Drosophila melanogaster: one gene and its partner. The gene in region 2 interacts genetically with the main gene of each other region. Each region holds a gene or a part of one and is shown on either strand. Other genes may lie near its edges.

Region 1 (6,889 bases), on a different chromosome or scaffold from region 2:
TCCCGTATTTTATCGATGCTATGAATAAGCAAACTTTGCGTAGTGATAAGAAATTAACTTTGATTAATGTTTAAATATTATGAAAAATCCTTCTTGTGAAACACTCGAGTGTAGCACTTTGTATTTGTTTGTATTTGTTGTCTTTTAAGCGGCTTTATTTTACTTCTTTTTCGGACTTCTTGAACTTGACTGACAGTGCTGTTCCATCTCACTCACTCATAGTGCTTCGCTCTCTTTCTCTCTCAACTGGCGCAACTCTCTTACCCCTCGCCATCACTTCTTACCAATTTTTATTACATGGAGTGAGTGCAACAAGAAGTGGTAGGCAAAAGGAGAATAAGAAGGTAAAAAACAAGAAGTTGCTTAGGTAGAAGAATTGCTCCTTCTCTCTCTGTCTCTCTTTCTCATCTTCCACTTTATTTCGTCTTCTTCATGGATATTCTTATTGTACCTTTTTTTTGTGCTTCTTGTTGTTGTCTTGTTTATTACCTGCTTTTATTTTTTGTTTTCATCTTATGCGCCTACAACTTTACTTATTTTTTATTCTTATTTTTTATATATGTATTAACTTTAATTCACTTGTAATTCAAGCAGTCTTCAAAACCGCAGATCATGTTGTGGGTTCTTAATTTTGCCAGCCAGTTTCTTTTTGAAATTCAACTCCTTCTTCTTAATCTTCATCGTGATTCTGAAAATGTTTTTTTTTTTCAAATTAAGAGTTGAGTTTCATATAGACTTCCTCATCTAAGCCTCTCTTTTCAGAAGAAGTCGTAGATATCAAGTAATGAAAATTGAAATCGATTTTAGGGAGAAGAGTTGTATTTGTAATCTATAAAGCTACGGAAGTAGAAAAATGTTTATCCGTGACTGTCCCTATGGTTAATACATATTTTAACCCAAATTTATGGCGATTAATATGCAAGGAAAGTAATGCTAAGGAAATTACCAGGATCTACGAGTAAACAGCAACATTAAGCAAGGGATAGGGATAATTAAGCTGGATTTTCGTGTGCTCCTAGCGAGGGAAGGAAGAAAAAAATGGGGGGGGGGGAGTGGTTGTGTTGTCTAGTCGTCTTTTCACCTGAGGGAAATGGGGGCGGGGCCAGCCCGCCAACCCAAAGGTCATTTGTATGCGTCTTTAGTAGCGGGACATGTCCGGCGTTTTATGATGAGGAGAAATCACCTTGGGGCCCAAATCAAAAATTCAATAAACATTGAACAGCGACGACAGAACAGACAGAACGAGCAGAAAATCTGTTTTAAAATTATTTACCATTCTTGGGCTGCTTGTAAGTCCTATGCATTCATTATGCAAAGCGCGTGGCATGACTGCTAAATAAAAATATTGAATATGCAGAGCCACTTCAGCTGCTCAGAAACAAAGCGGAAAAAATCAATCATTCGCGGTATTTCTCAAAAGAAAAAAAGAAGAAAAAACCCTACATAATACCAAGACTTAGTGCTACTGTTTGGGTAAATTATAACAATTGCGTACTGATTTTAGTGGATAATCTAAACACTATCTATACTATACTATATACGGTATAATTGTTATTTGAAAGTACAAACAATTTTAAGTTTTTTTTTGTAACCTGGCTCGTGGGTGTGGTCATAAAAAAGTCTAAGAAAGGTTTAAGCTGCTGAGTGTCGTAGCAGTGAGGTTTTCGTCTCGAATATAACGTGTTTTTTAGAAAACGGGTTTACTTGAGGTGTGCAAGAGGAAGGAGGTCTCTTCACAAACTCTTAAGATAACTGGTTTAATGTAGATCGCTACAGGGGGTGCGAAAGAGATGGACATAGCTATGTGCGAACTTAACGAAGTTTACTTGCCTTCAAGCTCGAACTTGTTGCATGTACACTATCGCCGCACCTTTCGCACCACTCTTATACCCGTCACTCGTACAGTTAAAGGGTATACTTAATTCGTTGAAAAGTATGTAACAGGCAGAAGGAAGCGTTTCCAACTTTATAAAGTATATATATTCAGGATCAGGAACAATAGCCGAATCGATTTAGCAACACACTTTCTAACACTTTCGCATTTCGCATTCGCATTTTCACTAGCTGAGTAACGGGTATCTGATAGTCGAGAAACTCGACTATACCATTCCCTCTGGTTTAAAACCAACTTGTTGCTGGCTTTTCTTATTTATATTTTTCTTGACTAATTTCCCGACTGGTTTTTCTTGTTGGCCAAAGAAACGAGTTTTCTTGGAAAAAGGCACTCAAAACCTCTAGGAAAATGCAACATGTTGCTAAAGGCAAATTGAATTTCCATACAAAATTGCTTCTATTCGTTGCTGCCTTAGGCTCATTTTCACCATTTGGGTCCGTTATCGACGAAAAAAATATAAAATATATAAATACGCATACAATGTTTTTAAAACCAAATGAAACAATTTTTTTTCCAAAATGGGTTTACTTCTCCTTAAAAGTTACATATAAAAGAAACTACATGATGATTTAAACTTAAAAACAATTTTAAAATTATTTCAAATTTATTGGTTCTTTTGTTGAAAACATTACATGCCTAAAATATAAAGGCAACATTTATTATTTGTTTTCTGAATATAATCAAACTTAAGAGAAATTCGCTATTATGTTCTCTTAATAAAAGTCGAGTCAAACATGTTAGCTTAACTTAACAGCGCTGTTAACGGCTCTCATCAAACGCGTTCGACTCGAACTTGTGCGGACTGTGTTGTGGAACTTGAATTTTGCGGCTGCGGCTCAAATTTTCGTTTCCCTTTCTCTGTGTGTTTTCCCATTTCGGATCGAACGCTTCGTGGAAAAGTGAGCGCGCGTTGTCTGAATTTCCCGCCGCGTTTTTCGTCGATTTCCGCGTGTGTGCGAACAACAACTCAGCAGCAGCAACAACAACAGTCCCAATTTATTGGGTAAAACGCAGAAAATATACTAAATTTGAGGTATAAAATTGAAATTTATACAAAATTACTGTGCACAGTGTATGTGTGTGTGTGGTTTCAGTGGCAGTGGAAAGACCAAAAGCAACGGTATACAAAATCAAAACAATGCAAGCAAGCAACAATAAATACAAAATAATAGATTTATTTCGAATAAACAACAGTTAAAACTTTAAGAAAAGGAAACGAAGCTAAGATAAATAAGAAAAAAACGCAGCATCTGCGTCATCTCTATCTCGCTCCCTCCCTCCCGTTTTATCCACGATCTCTGACGATCGCTCTGTCCCCCTCGCACTCGCACATCTTTACCGATTTACCTGGGAAACAGGTTTAGCGTCCATTTCGTGTGTATGTGTATGCGTGCGTGTGATTGTGTGTATAACGTGTATTGGTGTGTTTCTTGGAAACCTTTTAAGTGATTTTCTTACCTGCTCAAAAGTACAACAAAAGCAATAAAAACATGTTGCAACTCTAAAGCAACAACAAGCACGAAAAAGTGTGAAGCATAAATGCAGTTATAACTGTGAAAAAGGAGAGGTAGATAAAGGCGAAGCAAAGATATGGATAAATGAGATGAAAAAGAAAACTTAAACAAAGTAAAAAAAACCTGTTAAATTTTTTTGATATATTAATAATAAAAAATATATTATTAATTATTGCAAATTTATGAAAAAAAAAAAACAATGGATGGATACAACTTAAAAGAATTAGTGATAATACAACAACTGCCATAAGGACTTGGATTATAAACATAAACTGCACTTGAATAACTAATAAAAAACAAGAATGCCCGTGGAACCACATACAACATCTTAACCCCACAAAGCCGAGCAATTTCTAATCAACAACACCATTCTTAACCCTTTTCAGTTGTTCTTCTTCGTTTTCGGCTATCCGTTCAAAGTTTCGTGTGCAATAAATAAAAAATACTATATCGTCGAAAGCATAAAAACATTAACCAACGCAATGGAGCGTTGCAACAACACCACTAACTGCGAATTGGAATAAGAAGTCCAGCAAAAGTAGCAAAAATTGTTTTTGCAAAGGGAATTGAGAGTAGCACCCAAAGATAAGCAAAAACAGTAGAAACATATACAAAATATATTCAAAATATAGTCACAAAATGAGGCGAAAAACTACCACGAAAGGGACGGCAATAGTCAATAGCAGGAGTGCGAGGAGAGCAGCAACGACTATATGCAACTTTTTTCTCATCGGTAAGTTTACTTTGTTCGTTTGATAAGAAGCTTTTTGTTTGCAATGGAGTTATATATGTATATAATTGCTAAGAAGATTACCCAGCTTTTCTCGAGCATTATTCCAGAACTTAAATATCTATAGGGGGTATCACTTGAGTTCATTTGTTTATCGGTGGTAAGATTGATAGCTCCCGATAAATCCCAATCTATTCGCTAGCTCACTCTTTGTGTTCGGCACACGCATATCACAAATCAATTAAAAGTTTCGGTTCCGCCCTTGACATACCCTGCTTATGACAGCTCCCCTTTTTCCGCCACTTTCCTCCGGCATTTTCCCCCTGTTTTTTCAAGTCGCCTTTGCTGTTGTCACCTTGCGACGTCACTTTAGTTTTTTGTTGATCTAGGTTGTTGCAGCTTGACGTCAGCGTAAAGTTTTTTATCTGCTACCCAAGCCTCCCCAATTTTCCACGCAATTTTCCGCAGCCCACCCCTTTGTTGGCTCCTGTCAATTGGCAGCATTTACTAGGAAGATATTGAATCGGTAGCTAAAGTAAAGTCGATATTCCATGAAAAAAACTGATTAACCATGTATTTACTATGTCTATATCCACACTTGACAGTCTGAAAGATATAAGTATCGTCTTAATTAAAAATTCCAGCATAATTTTCCACTTTCCAGATGCTCCGCATCAGTTAGGAAATGCTGTTATTATGCAAGAATATTTACTGTGTCACAAATAAAGGGCGCAAAACTGGGGGAGAGGACACAGTGGTATAAGTATAGGAAAAACTTTAGTTTGGCACGCTTCGGCAAAGTTTTTCCCTTCCGCACACATAATGCTTTGCTTACAAAATGCTTTTTAATACTTAAAGAACCCCTGGAAAAGTCGGCAAAGGGGGGGGGCTGGGGCTAAATTTAAATGTGAATTATATCCACTCAATCGGGCAAATCGGTCAAGGGAAGTCGAAAAGGGGAGCAGCCAGTTCCTTTTTATTAATTTGTCTGGCGATTAGTTGGGGGCTAGTCCCTCTGAGTTTTTAACCCCCTCAAAAGATATATTGCACCATTAACTTTATGGCGCTCTCCGCGTTTTCAGCTCGTGTTTTGTGTGTGTGCAATCAGTTAATAAACAAAACGTGTTGATTTGACATCTTAATTGGGCCTTTGACACGCGTTTTCCAACGCTTTTATACGAACTACTCGTAAAAGTCGTCTTTGAAGCTTTAACTGTCAACGCCTCCGACCGAAAAAAAAAACGAGAAATCAATGAACTCTCTATGGAGGCTTTTTAGGCCTCAAGCTTCTGGGGAATTGCTCCACTCGGGGGCATTATTAGATTTGATGACAGTGGCCAAGAGGGAATTGACATTTAAAACAGGCACGCGGATCGGAGGGATCAGACATTAAAAACGCATTAAAAGATTAGCAACGAGGAATGGTGGAAAACTAAAGACCTTTGGCGGCTTAGGATAATAATTACTTGGTAATGTGCAAATGGGCTGAACTAATAACCTTAGCGGTTTCGTGCTTATATATGTAATGTATAAATAGTTTAAAAATATTTAAATATTTATTTAAATAAACCAACATTTTCCAAAACGCCCCTTCCATGATTTATTTTTAGCCATGTCTTGTGTCTTTTTCCCACACCATCTACTTGATTGTCAGCACATTTATCCTGTTGATCCTTGAAGTGCATTCCAATTTGGTTGAGTTTTCCTTGGAAAATCCCCGGTGCCGTTGTGTGTACAGTAAAATGCTCAAGGAGCAGCACAGGATATTGCTTAAGAAGTGCTCGAAAGGCAGTTTGCAACAATTTGTGTGCGTCTCCTTTGGTTTTTATGTTTATTTCGTCTGCCTTTGGTTTTTATTTTCGTTTGTCTACCTGCTAACTGTCGCCCTTTTTCCTGTATTTCCATGCCGCTTTCCCTTTGAGTTTTCCACATTCATTTCATTTCCTGGCTTTTCCAAATGCCTGCGCTCCTAAAACGTTACCTTACCCCGCCATTTTCCCACTTTTCCCTCCGTGTTTTTAGCGCGTGAATTATGATTGTGGCTTAGTTTTTCTCACTTTTCCGGAGTTGTTATTGTCCCTGTTTTTTTTTTTTTTTTGTTTTTTGGTCCCCTTCATATCATTTTCCACACATACACACACACACACTCGCACACGCTTGCTGCAAAAATATCTGCAACTGCTGCAACTTTGAAATTAAAATAAATTAAACAAATATTTTGTTTGTTTCAAACATTTTTTACGTGCAAAATTCAGCGACGTGTGCGGAAATGGGTTGCCCCCCCCCCCCAAAAAAAAAGAGCAAAAGAAAGAGAAGGGACCACTGGTGCAGAAAGAGACAGGTGGAGCAGAGGCTGGCAACAGATGCGGTGGAAATGAGAAACGCTTTTCCTGCAGAGGAAAATTTATCTATATGCACAATTTGCATTTGCAAAATCAAAGCTGGATTCCACAGGAAAGTGGAAAAGAGGAGATGGCCAGAGGCATTGGCTTCAAAGGGGATTTTGAGTTTAGATGCAATAAATTGGTTTAGCCAGCTGAAAACTTTGTTGTCCGTTGTGGCAATATTGATACTTAGAGGGTTGGGTTTTAGTAAACAAAAGAAATGACAAACTAAAGTTGAAATGTGTTTTGGGCATTCCAGCAAATTATGGCAGTTATTTTGTGCACAAAGAGGCAATTTGTAAAGGCATTAAATCAATATTACGGTATTGCTATAAAATAAGGCAGGAATTTGAAACAAGTTGTATAG
Region 2 (9,492 bases):
TAACAGCTACCAATCAGCGACGAAAGTCCAATTTATAGGGGGGGGCAGAGATACGGATACGCTAGGGGTTAGTTGGTACGCTCCTCCACCTTCCTAATGACCACGTTCAGGGCAAGATTACCGTCCTCAGAGAACAGTTCGACGGTGTGCTTATTGAGCACCAGGAAGTCGGCGTTGGTGAACGAGGAGAAGTTCTCACGGATTGATCTTGGCTTGGATTGCCAGCGGAGAGTGCGATTATAGGCCTCCAAGGAGATGTTATACACGAACTCGGCGGCATCCTTCATGGAGCCGATCATCCGACAGGCGGTGAAGTACTGCTGACAGTCCTCTCCCAAATTGATCTTCTCCAGCGAGAGGAGGAAGTGCCGCCCATGGCAGGACTGCACCATTGTCCAGTCGAGGGCACCCTCCAGATTCACATTGGTGGCCAAAAAGATGATGTCGTTGCCCTCCATGGTGATCACGTTCTCGTGGGAGCTCATCAGGTGCTGGTATACGTCCCTCAACGGTCCCTGCCAGGAGCACTTGTCATCCGGATACGGGCAGAAGTACGGACGGCATTCGCAATCCTCCTCGTGCTTGGTCTTCTCTGCGTAAGAGAGCCGCGCTCTGCAGCCGAAATGCGAATGCTTGCAGGGAAAGATCAGCTTGGAGGCCACCTTCTCCATTGCCAGGCTGCGGATGTTGGTCATGAACACCCGGCAGACGGGGCAAATGGTCAACTTTGAGCGGCAGGTGGAGCAGATGAGGTGGCCACGCGGGCACTGCATAATTGGCGGCATTATGTAGCCAAAGCACACCGGGCACTCGAGCAAAGCCATTAGAAAATCGTCTCTTGCACCACTGCGTGTTGTGTCCAATGGCCCAGTGGCCACAATTCCCGACTGCACAGCCACCGAGTCCTTCCGCCTAGACGGCACCAGTTCTCCGGCAGCGGCTGCGTCCGGGGATTGCCGCTTGACCACCACAACGTGCGTGGTCTCCTCCGGCGGCACGACCAACGCTGGTGCCGATTGACGACGAGTCAACATTTCTCCGGATGCCGTTGGAGTGTCAATAGTCCTTTGCGGACTTACCCGCTCCGGCCACGATAACTGGGGGCGTGAGTTGCGAACAGACATCTGTGCTTCAGCCAACAATCAATGCGCAAGCTATTAATCCTAAGACCTAACAACCAAACGATTCTGAAGAATGAGAGTGCCGATGGTTTTACTTTTTTTTTACTTTTTCTGAACACTGAAATTTTGCTTAAAAGAATTCGAAAATACAATCTGTACCACAATACAACGAAGCTAAAAGTATAATGAGCTACTTTTACTTCGGAGCCTACTTGCTTTAAATCATTTTAAAATCAGCTTAAAAATTTATTTTTGAAATTGGCCTAAGTATCCTAGTAAGATACCAATCCAGCTAAATCTTTAAGATGCTTCGGCGGTGCACCACTAAAAACTTGTGCCATCTATTATTGCAACGTTTTAAAACGCATTAGAAGTAACCCAAGTATCTCAAAGATAATCCAAATTAAACAGATAACTGATTTAAATCGACAAGTTTATAAAGTGGCGTAGCTCTTCTTTGTAATTCAGCTTCCCCCAGATTAATTTCAATAATTAACGAGCATTGTTTACTTTTACTAATCATGTTTATTTCAGTTTTGTAGTTTTGTGTCTGTGTGAGTGATCTCATATGGTAGTGGCGCGGTAAATCGGCGCATTAAAAGCTAATTACGGTGCAGATGCTTAAAATCATTAATTTTTCTTCCGTTTTCGATTGGGAAACGTTGGCCGAATGGAAATCAAAACCAAAACATGAGCCAAACCGGGGAGATCGTCTTAACTAGATAGAAATTTAAACATTAACATTGCTTTATATGTTTGGGGGGACTTGGGGGGAAATGGGAAGGGGCAACTGTCTTTTTAGCATTGCGAAAAAAAATGTTTTCTTTTTTTTTTAGTGTGTTTTTGTTATTTTGTGATGGTTTGGCATGAACAAAATTGCGGGTCGCAGTTTCGTTTAGGCTGCAACTTTCAAACAACTCTCGAGTTATTACAGATTATCGCTATCAAATATTACTTTTCTTTGTGGGTTATTAGGTTTGTTAATTTCGTTAAACTGTTCGTTTTACTTATTACCATTTACAAGTATTGTATAAAATAATTTACATTAACTAAACTAGACTTTGCAGTACATGTTCGAGTGGATGAGTGACCTCCTCGCCTTTCTTGCTGTTCTCCTCGTTTTGGTGAGTGGGTCTGTGTGTTCCTAGCGTTCACTGTAGTAGGTGGTGGGCACGTGGGCACGCGCAGGCAGCTCTGCTCCAGGTGTGTGGACCTTACGAACTAAATTAAACTAAAGCAGAACCCCATGAACTAACAAAACGGGTAACACTGAAACTTTGAAATATATAGTATTGTGTGTGCGGTAACTGAAAAATCATGTCCTAGAACTAGAGTACCAATCGAACCGATTAAACATACAAACATACAGGTCAGCCACGATTTTCGCATTCGACAGGAAAGTGTGTTATACAAATCTGCGAAATCTCACCAAAAATATTTGGCATTTTTCTGCAAACGAGTGAGATTTACACACAGTCATGTGCAAACTAAAAATGAAAATACGAATTTTAAACGCGGTTTTACAGGTTTAACGAACGTGTGCAATAAACACTGAACATCACTTAGCAATTGCTTTAATACGCTTTCCATTTCGCTTTGGAAAATTGTGAGTGTCTTAGCTTAAAAATCAAAGAAAACTGCGATATCGTGCCGAATGTGATAATCGAAGCAGCCTGATATTTCCATAGATATATATACATATGCATGTAAGTGGCTCTTAGAATAGAGAATCATTTTTATAAAACAACTCTGCAAAACTCTTTCTTCTTAATCTCCAGACTCACAATCTGTCCACGAGTTAGACGCCTGATGCGAACAGAGGGCTATAAACTATATATGTATTTGTATCGGAATAGTAAACACAAGAAATGAAAGAACCCGACGAATTGACAGTGCGTTTAGACCAGAGATATGGTCACGTTAATGCCCAGGTTGCCATTGTCGGCGAACAATTGCGCAATCGACGTGTCGAACACCAGGCAGTCCGAGTTGTGAATTGCGGAAGCGACGCCCTCGTGGATCGAACGCGGCATTGCCTCCCAGGTGAGCCGGCGTCGGTTTCCGTTCAACTCCAGGCGATAGACAAAGTTCTCCGCTTCCTTGCGCGACCCGATCAGCTGAACGATGGCAAAGAACTGCTGGTGTCCGTCGTACTTCTCCTGCTTCTCCAGCACGAGCATAAAATGGTGGCCGAAGCAGGACTGCATCATTACCCAATCGACGGCGCCGGGCAGGTTGATGTCGGTGGCCAGGAACACGATGTCCTCGCCCTGCAGCGTTGTGATGCTCTTGTGCGACATCATCAGATGCTGCATGACTAGGTCAAGCGGGCCCTGCCACTTACAGCTGGCGCCCGGGCACGGACACAGGTAGGGCCGGCACTCGCACGTCTCCTCGTGTTCTGTCTTTTCCGTGTAAACCAGCGAGGCGGTGCATCCGTAGCCGGAGTGCTTGCACGGGAACTTGACGTTCGAGGCAACCTTCTCCATCGCCAGGTTGCGGATATTCGCCAGCGGACCGCGGCAGGTGGGGCAGCAGGTGAGCTTGGAGCGACAGGACACGCACACCAGGTGCCCGCTGGAGCACTGCAGGATCGGCGGTAGCACATAGTCAAAGCACACGGGGCATTCAAACAGCGAGGTCAAGTCGGCGGACATGCCCGCATCACCGCCACCGGCGGACGACAGCGAGGAGCTGGACGACGAGGATGTGTTGGCCGAGGACGTGTTGCCGGCACTGGAGGATCCGGTCGAGGTGCTCGTGTTGGTGGCCACTCCCGTGGCACCGGCTCCTGCTGCTGCTGCTGTCGGTTCGCGGCGCTTCGGGTTGATTTTATTGGACATTGGAAGGGTTCTCGCAACGGCACGAATGTGTCTACAATTCTTCTGGGTCCCTGCAATTCTCGCCAGGTTCAGGTTCTTCGCCCTCCCGGTGGCTTCGGCAATGGCTTTCTTGTGCTTCTGTCTAAAATGAGATACAATCACAGGTCAGTGAGTAATGCGGTCAATTTAGTCATAGCATATGTATAATTTTTTTTTCTTTTTTTTGTAATTTTGTTCGTTCAGTGATAAGAAACTCCAAAAAACAATAACCTACAAAACCATACAGATATCTTAACAAAAATAGTTTGTTTCGATTAGGCTTAGTTAATCCAAAAATAACATATATCAACCAACAAAAAAAATCACAGTATAACACACTGCATAAATGCTGGTTTAAATTTGAACATATGTTATGAGCTTTCTATCGATTTTGCGGCTTAAGTTCGGAGCATACTATTGATTTGAATGTTCATTCCAAACTATTGTGCCCACTGGGACATGAGTAATAGGCAAAAATATTTTTCCATGAAGTAATAGAAATGAAATGAATGCAAACTGTGTAAGCAAAATCTACTCGATTGCTATAAAAAATGTTGCCCAGCAAAACTACTATCCATTTGTAATAATTTAATTTGAGCCTTATTAATTTAAAACTTATTTCGCGTAATCACTACTACTAGGTAGTTCGTTTTTCGTGCCGCCCAATAGAAAAGCCAAAGCGATTTATCATTCCTGGCCTTAACCTTGCCGTGGATTCCCAATTGTTGTAATTACCGAAAAAAGAAAACACACGCATTTGCGTGTATGGGAATTGCATTTAAGCAATTACTTAAAGCGGAACGTATCGAACCGGAGTTGGTCTGCGAAAAGCAAAGACACAGCCCGAGGTCGCCGTCACGTCTCCGATCGAAATGAAGGCCCGATTCCGATTCCAACTCCGAGCCCAAGCCCAAAAGCCTCTTGGCGGCACGTGTGGAACGGCGCAAATATGTTGGCTCTTATCAGGCGGAGCTGACGGAGCCGACGCTGATGGACGGCCATTAGGGACGTCGACCCATGGCGGGATTGTGCGATGGTGGGTGTCGTGCTGGTTGTAATGGGTGTGGTTCGGTTTCACGGGTTTGTCCACTTTGGACAGAATGGGCACACATTAGTGTGAACAATATGCTGTGGGTGCTTTGGTGCGTTTATAAGATAAATATCAATATAATAATATAAAGTTTTCGTAATTGTTTAGCTTTGATGTACAAACAAAACTTGTTCTCTTTCCTAACGGGAATATATTTGCTATATGATTGCTATCAAAATTTTGTGTGAAAGGAGTTCAGTAATATTGTTTATATTCGAAAACAAACTCAAACCTAAAAAATAAATAATATGTTTCCTTATTAACCCAAAACAAAAACACATGAAACGCATGAACATACAAATGTTTAATACTTTACCCTATATATTGGAAAAATTATTTGAACATTTGCCATTATGAAATTCGTACCATCGCCCGCATAAACGTAATATCGTAATGAAGAGTGCGTAACGTAACAAATGCAACGAGGATGTGTAGGGGGTGGGTGGCGGTAGGGGATGGCAGCCGCGGGGAGGGAAACTCACACACTTACAACACAGACACAGATCGCACACACATAATTAACAGTTCGTTTACGTTGCGTACCGTTGGAAACGTTCATACGGGGTAAAAATGGTAATTGCCACAAAAGTCATAGCCATGAATATAATTAACTTAGCTTCTGCTTTCATGAGTTGCAAAATGGTAAAATAGAAAACGTAAGTTGCGGAGCAAAGCGAAATGCGACTATCTTTCTTTAATTTATGCCGCCATTAAGTGCGACTAGGCTGCTGTTTAAACAGCAACAACAACTGCGAAATACATAATCGTTGATATGTAAACTTACATGGCAGGCTGCCTCCAAGAAATTGTGCCGAGGTATTGGTGCCCCGCTGCGTTGGTGTGTGTGTGTATGTGTATATTTTATTTTCTTGTTATTTTTTTGTTTCCTTTTTTATCAGTCAGTCAGCCTTTACGGCCATGCACACACACACACGCATACAGCCAGCATGTGTGTGTATATATCCTAGGTGCAAGTTCCGTTTTTTACGTTGCAATTTGTTATTTTTTTAACCGCATATATATATATAACCAATGCAGGTGGTTTTGCTACTGCACACGCACACTGGGAAAATGGAAAAACTGTTTTGATTGCTTTTCGCCTTTTCGTTCACCTTGCACCGAACCGAAACTCGAAATTCAGGCGTGAGCTAATTTCATTTGGCTTTTTATCTAATTTTCTTTAACGCGACCCGCACACATACACATTTATTCATATTTAGCTTTACTAGTTATTTTCGCCTTTTCTGCCTCTGTGTTGCTGCTGCTGCTGATGTTGTGTTGTTGTTGTTGCTGCACAAAAATAAACCATTTGCATTTACACACAGGCAGCGAAATGGGTTTTTTTCGTGTGTCTCACTTTTTCTATATTGCGTTCTTTGATCGTCGCAGTCGGCGTTTATTGCACTTGCCCTTGCGCGGTGTGGAATTCAGTCTTTTTCGGCATTCTCCATGTACTTTGGGCGTGATGTCTGCCTTTAGCTGGTTAATTAATTAATTTACTTTACTATACTGAGTTTCTTCTAATGTCCGCGTCGGTTGCAGAGATGGAACCCCAATTGTCGTCTATTCGATTCCAGATAGTCGATTACACGCAATCGGCAACATCGCAGTGCCTCCTGGTAGCTATCAATTGCTGTCATCGATTACTTAACAGCCTTGCCACGTTTGTCAAATTAATTTAATAACAGGAAAACATCAGTTTTGAAATAATACAAATCGAATCAGGCGCATAATTTTTAAAGGATCAAAGTTAATAATGTAGTCTGTTACTCTTATTGACAACTAAAGCCTAATTTTTAAAATAATTCATTAATAAATACTTTTTTATGATTTATAGTATTTCCAATCAAATAATATAGGCAATACAAAAAATTAAATAAAAATATTGATTGGTGATACCTTGACCTTGTGTCACATCATTGGCGGGAATGTTTAAGAACTTAGTTTGGATCGGGAAATTCGAAGAAACAAATTTACGAAAGAGTAAAATTGCGTTTTACGAATATGAAGTAAATAAATATCCTAATACCAAAAATCCCATTAATCTTCTTCACTTTTATGCATTTCCAGAGGGCTACCTCACGTCCTGCTCCTTCGACTATCTTTCGGACAACTTTGACACCCGGTTGTTTGTGGGCACCATCTTCTTTTTCAGCTTCGTGTGTCCCACGCTGATGATCCTTTACTACTACTCGCAGATCGTGGGCCATGTCTTCAGCCACGAAAAGGCCCTACGGGAGCAGGCCAAGAAAATGAACGTGGAGTCGCTGCGCTCCAATGTGGACAAGAGCAAGGAGACGGCGGAGATACGGATTGCGAAGGCGGCTATCACCATCTGCTTCCTGTTCTTCGTGTCGTGGACGCCCTACGGCGTAATGTCGCTGATCGGGGCATTCGGGGATAAGAGTCTGCTTACACCAGGAGCCACGATGATCCCGGCCTGCACCTGCAAACTGGTGGCGTGCATAGACCCATTCGTCTATGCCATAAGTCACCCCAGATACCGCTTGGAGCTGCAGAAGCGCTGTCCCTGGCTGGGAGTCAACGAAAAGTCTGGGGAGATCTCTTCGGCGCAGTCCACGACCACCCAGGAGCAGCAACAGACTACCGCTGCATAGAACCAAGGACAACTCTACTCTAAGACAACTGACCATGTAACATGAAAGCCAAGGAAAAAGTATAAAATGCCGACAACGAAACTGTATAACATTAATTTTATAATTTGTAGTGTGACATTCTTGAGTTTGAAATAAATAAATAGTAACTTATTGCAAACGAAGTAGAAAATGAGTCCCGTTTTTTATTTGAAATTCGGTTCTTTGATGTCATTATTTTGTTACTATTTCTACACTTACACTTAAAAATTAAATAACAAATTCAACTCAAATCCTAAACACATTTACACAGTTATTTGGAGCCTCTTCATTCCTAATAAAATCATAAAATCGAGTTTTTTTTTCAAAATAGTCAGTTATGTATTTATTCGGTTTTTGGGTAATATCTTTAAGATACCCATTGTGAAATCTGTTGGCATTTGTTAAACAAAATGAAGGTGACCCACCAGGAAATAAATTCCATGACCCTGGCTAATCCTCAGTTGCACATCAGGGAATGCAGTCGAATGACCGCTCGGTAATCGTTGTGCGACAGCAGACCACGCTGCGATCGCTGTAGCACTCGTTTCAGCCGCTCTACGGTCTCTGTGTTGGAGGTCATCTTGAAAAGATCATCGAGGTACTTTAGCGATTCGCGTGACCAGAACATGGACGGTTTGTTGGCGTCCTTGTTGATGCTGCCAGGTTGATTGTGATCCATTTCACTCAACAGACGGTCACACTCCGGATTGAGAGTATGGCGCAGCTGAAGATCGGATCGTGATCGTTGCTGGAGATTATTGTAGGGCATCTGGTCGATCTGTGGACGTCGTAGATTCTGCTGATATTGGTTGTTGTCTTGCTGCTGATGCTGCTGCTGTTGTTGCATACGTTGCTGTTGCACACGTTGTTGCTGGTGTTGCTGTTGTAGACTTTGCTGCTGTTGCTTTTGCTGCTGCTGCAAGCGTTGCTGTTGGTTTTGATGTTGCTGCTGCAGACGTTGCTGTTGCTGTTGCTGCTGCCGTTGTTGATTTTGTGTTTGCTGATCCAGGGCTTGACGTTGCTTCTTCTTTGACATTTTAGGAGGTGGTGGTGGAGCCATGTCCTGCCGAACTGGTGGGAGAGGCGTTGGCGATGGTGGCCCCTTACTAGGCGATTGCGGCTGACTCTGCGTTTTCTTTTGTTGCAGTCCCAACAGCACAGGATCTATGTGCAACGAGGGCAAGCGATTCTTTTGATCCAAACGTCCATAGCTGTTTAGCAGAGAGTCGTAATTCGGATGCGGATATGACGAGAAGATCATTCGCCAATGCTCCTCGATCTCATTGCGCAACTGTGGCGTGGCGTGTTCATCTGGCGAGAAGTCATCGATCAGGCGACGCAATAAGACTAGCAACTGATCGAGATGTGTTTTGCCATTCAGGAGTCCCGCCTGGCCGACGAGGATCATGTTAAGCTGGCGGCGCTTTTTTTCTGCCATCTTAAAACCGTTTTTGGTGTTCATCCCCTCTAGCTCCTTGATGCGCACGTAGTGGCTCTTGGCGTTTCCTAGATTGGTGTTTAGACTGTTGATTCCATCCCGCAGAAAGCGGATCAGCACATCAATACGTTTGGGGGGTTTCTGGCTCTGGAACTCGATGCTCTTGCGCTTGACTTCCTGACTGCGTCGAAGCAGTTTCACTTGCAACTCTTCCTGGTGCTTTTTAAGGCCATATATCACCAGTACATAACCGTAGTCCTTAAAGTCCATCCGCACGCTTACATGACACTGTTTGGCGGCTGCCGCCAGAAAAGTTCGGCCCTCCGCACTGAACAGGTACTCGGAT

Evidence for each region.
Region 1: of sina (region 2) and ed, changing one suppresses a phenotype caused by changing the other (phenotypic suppression), as found in Drosophila melanogaster (one study listed by BioGRID).

What each region holds. Positions count from the first base shown.
Region 1 is NT_033779.5:4,028,629-4,035,517, forward strand, and holds the start of ed (echinoid), read left to right. Parts: upstream 1-2,748; 5' UTR 2,749-2,927; intron 2,928-3,794; 5' UTR 3,795-4,047; coding exon 4,048-4,141; intron 4,142-6,889.
Region 2 is NT_037436.4:16,850,890-16,860,381, reverse strand, and holds sina (seven in absentia), read right to left. Parts: upstream 6,632-9,492; 5' UTR 5,857-6,631; intron 4,464-5,856; exon of another isoform or gene 4,398-4,463; intron 4,086-4,397; 5' UTR 3,965-4,085; coding exon 3,020-3,964; 3' UTR 1,670-3,019; downstream 1-1,669. Other genes in the region: sinah (sina homologue), read right to left, coding at 69-1,124; Rh4 (rhodopsin 4), read left to right, coding at 7,143-7,690; Zcchc7 (zinc finger CCHC-type containing 7), read right to left, coding at 8,166-9,492. UniProt on the Drosophila melanogaster protein: E3 ubiquitin-protein ligase that is required for specification of R7 photoreceptor cell fate in the eye by mediating the ubiquitination and subsequent proteasomal degradation of Tramtrack (ttk).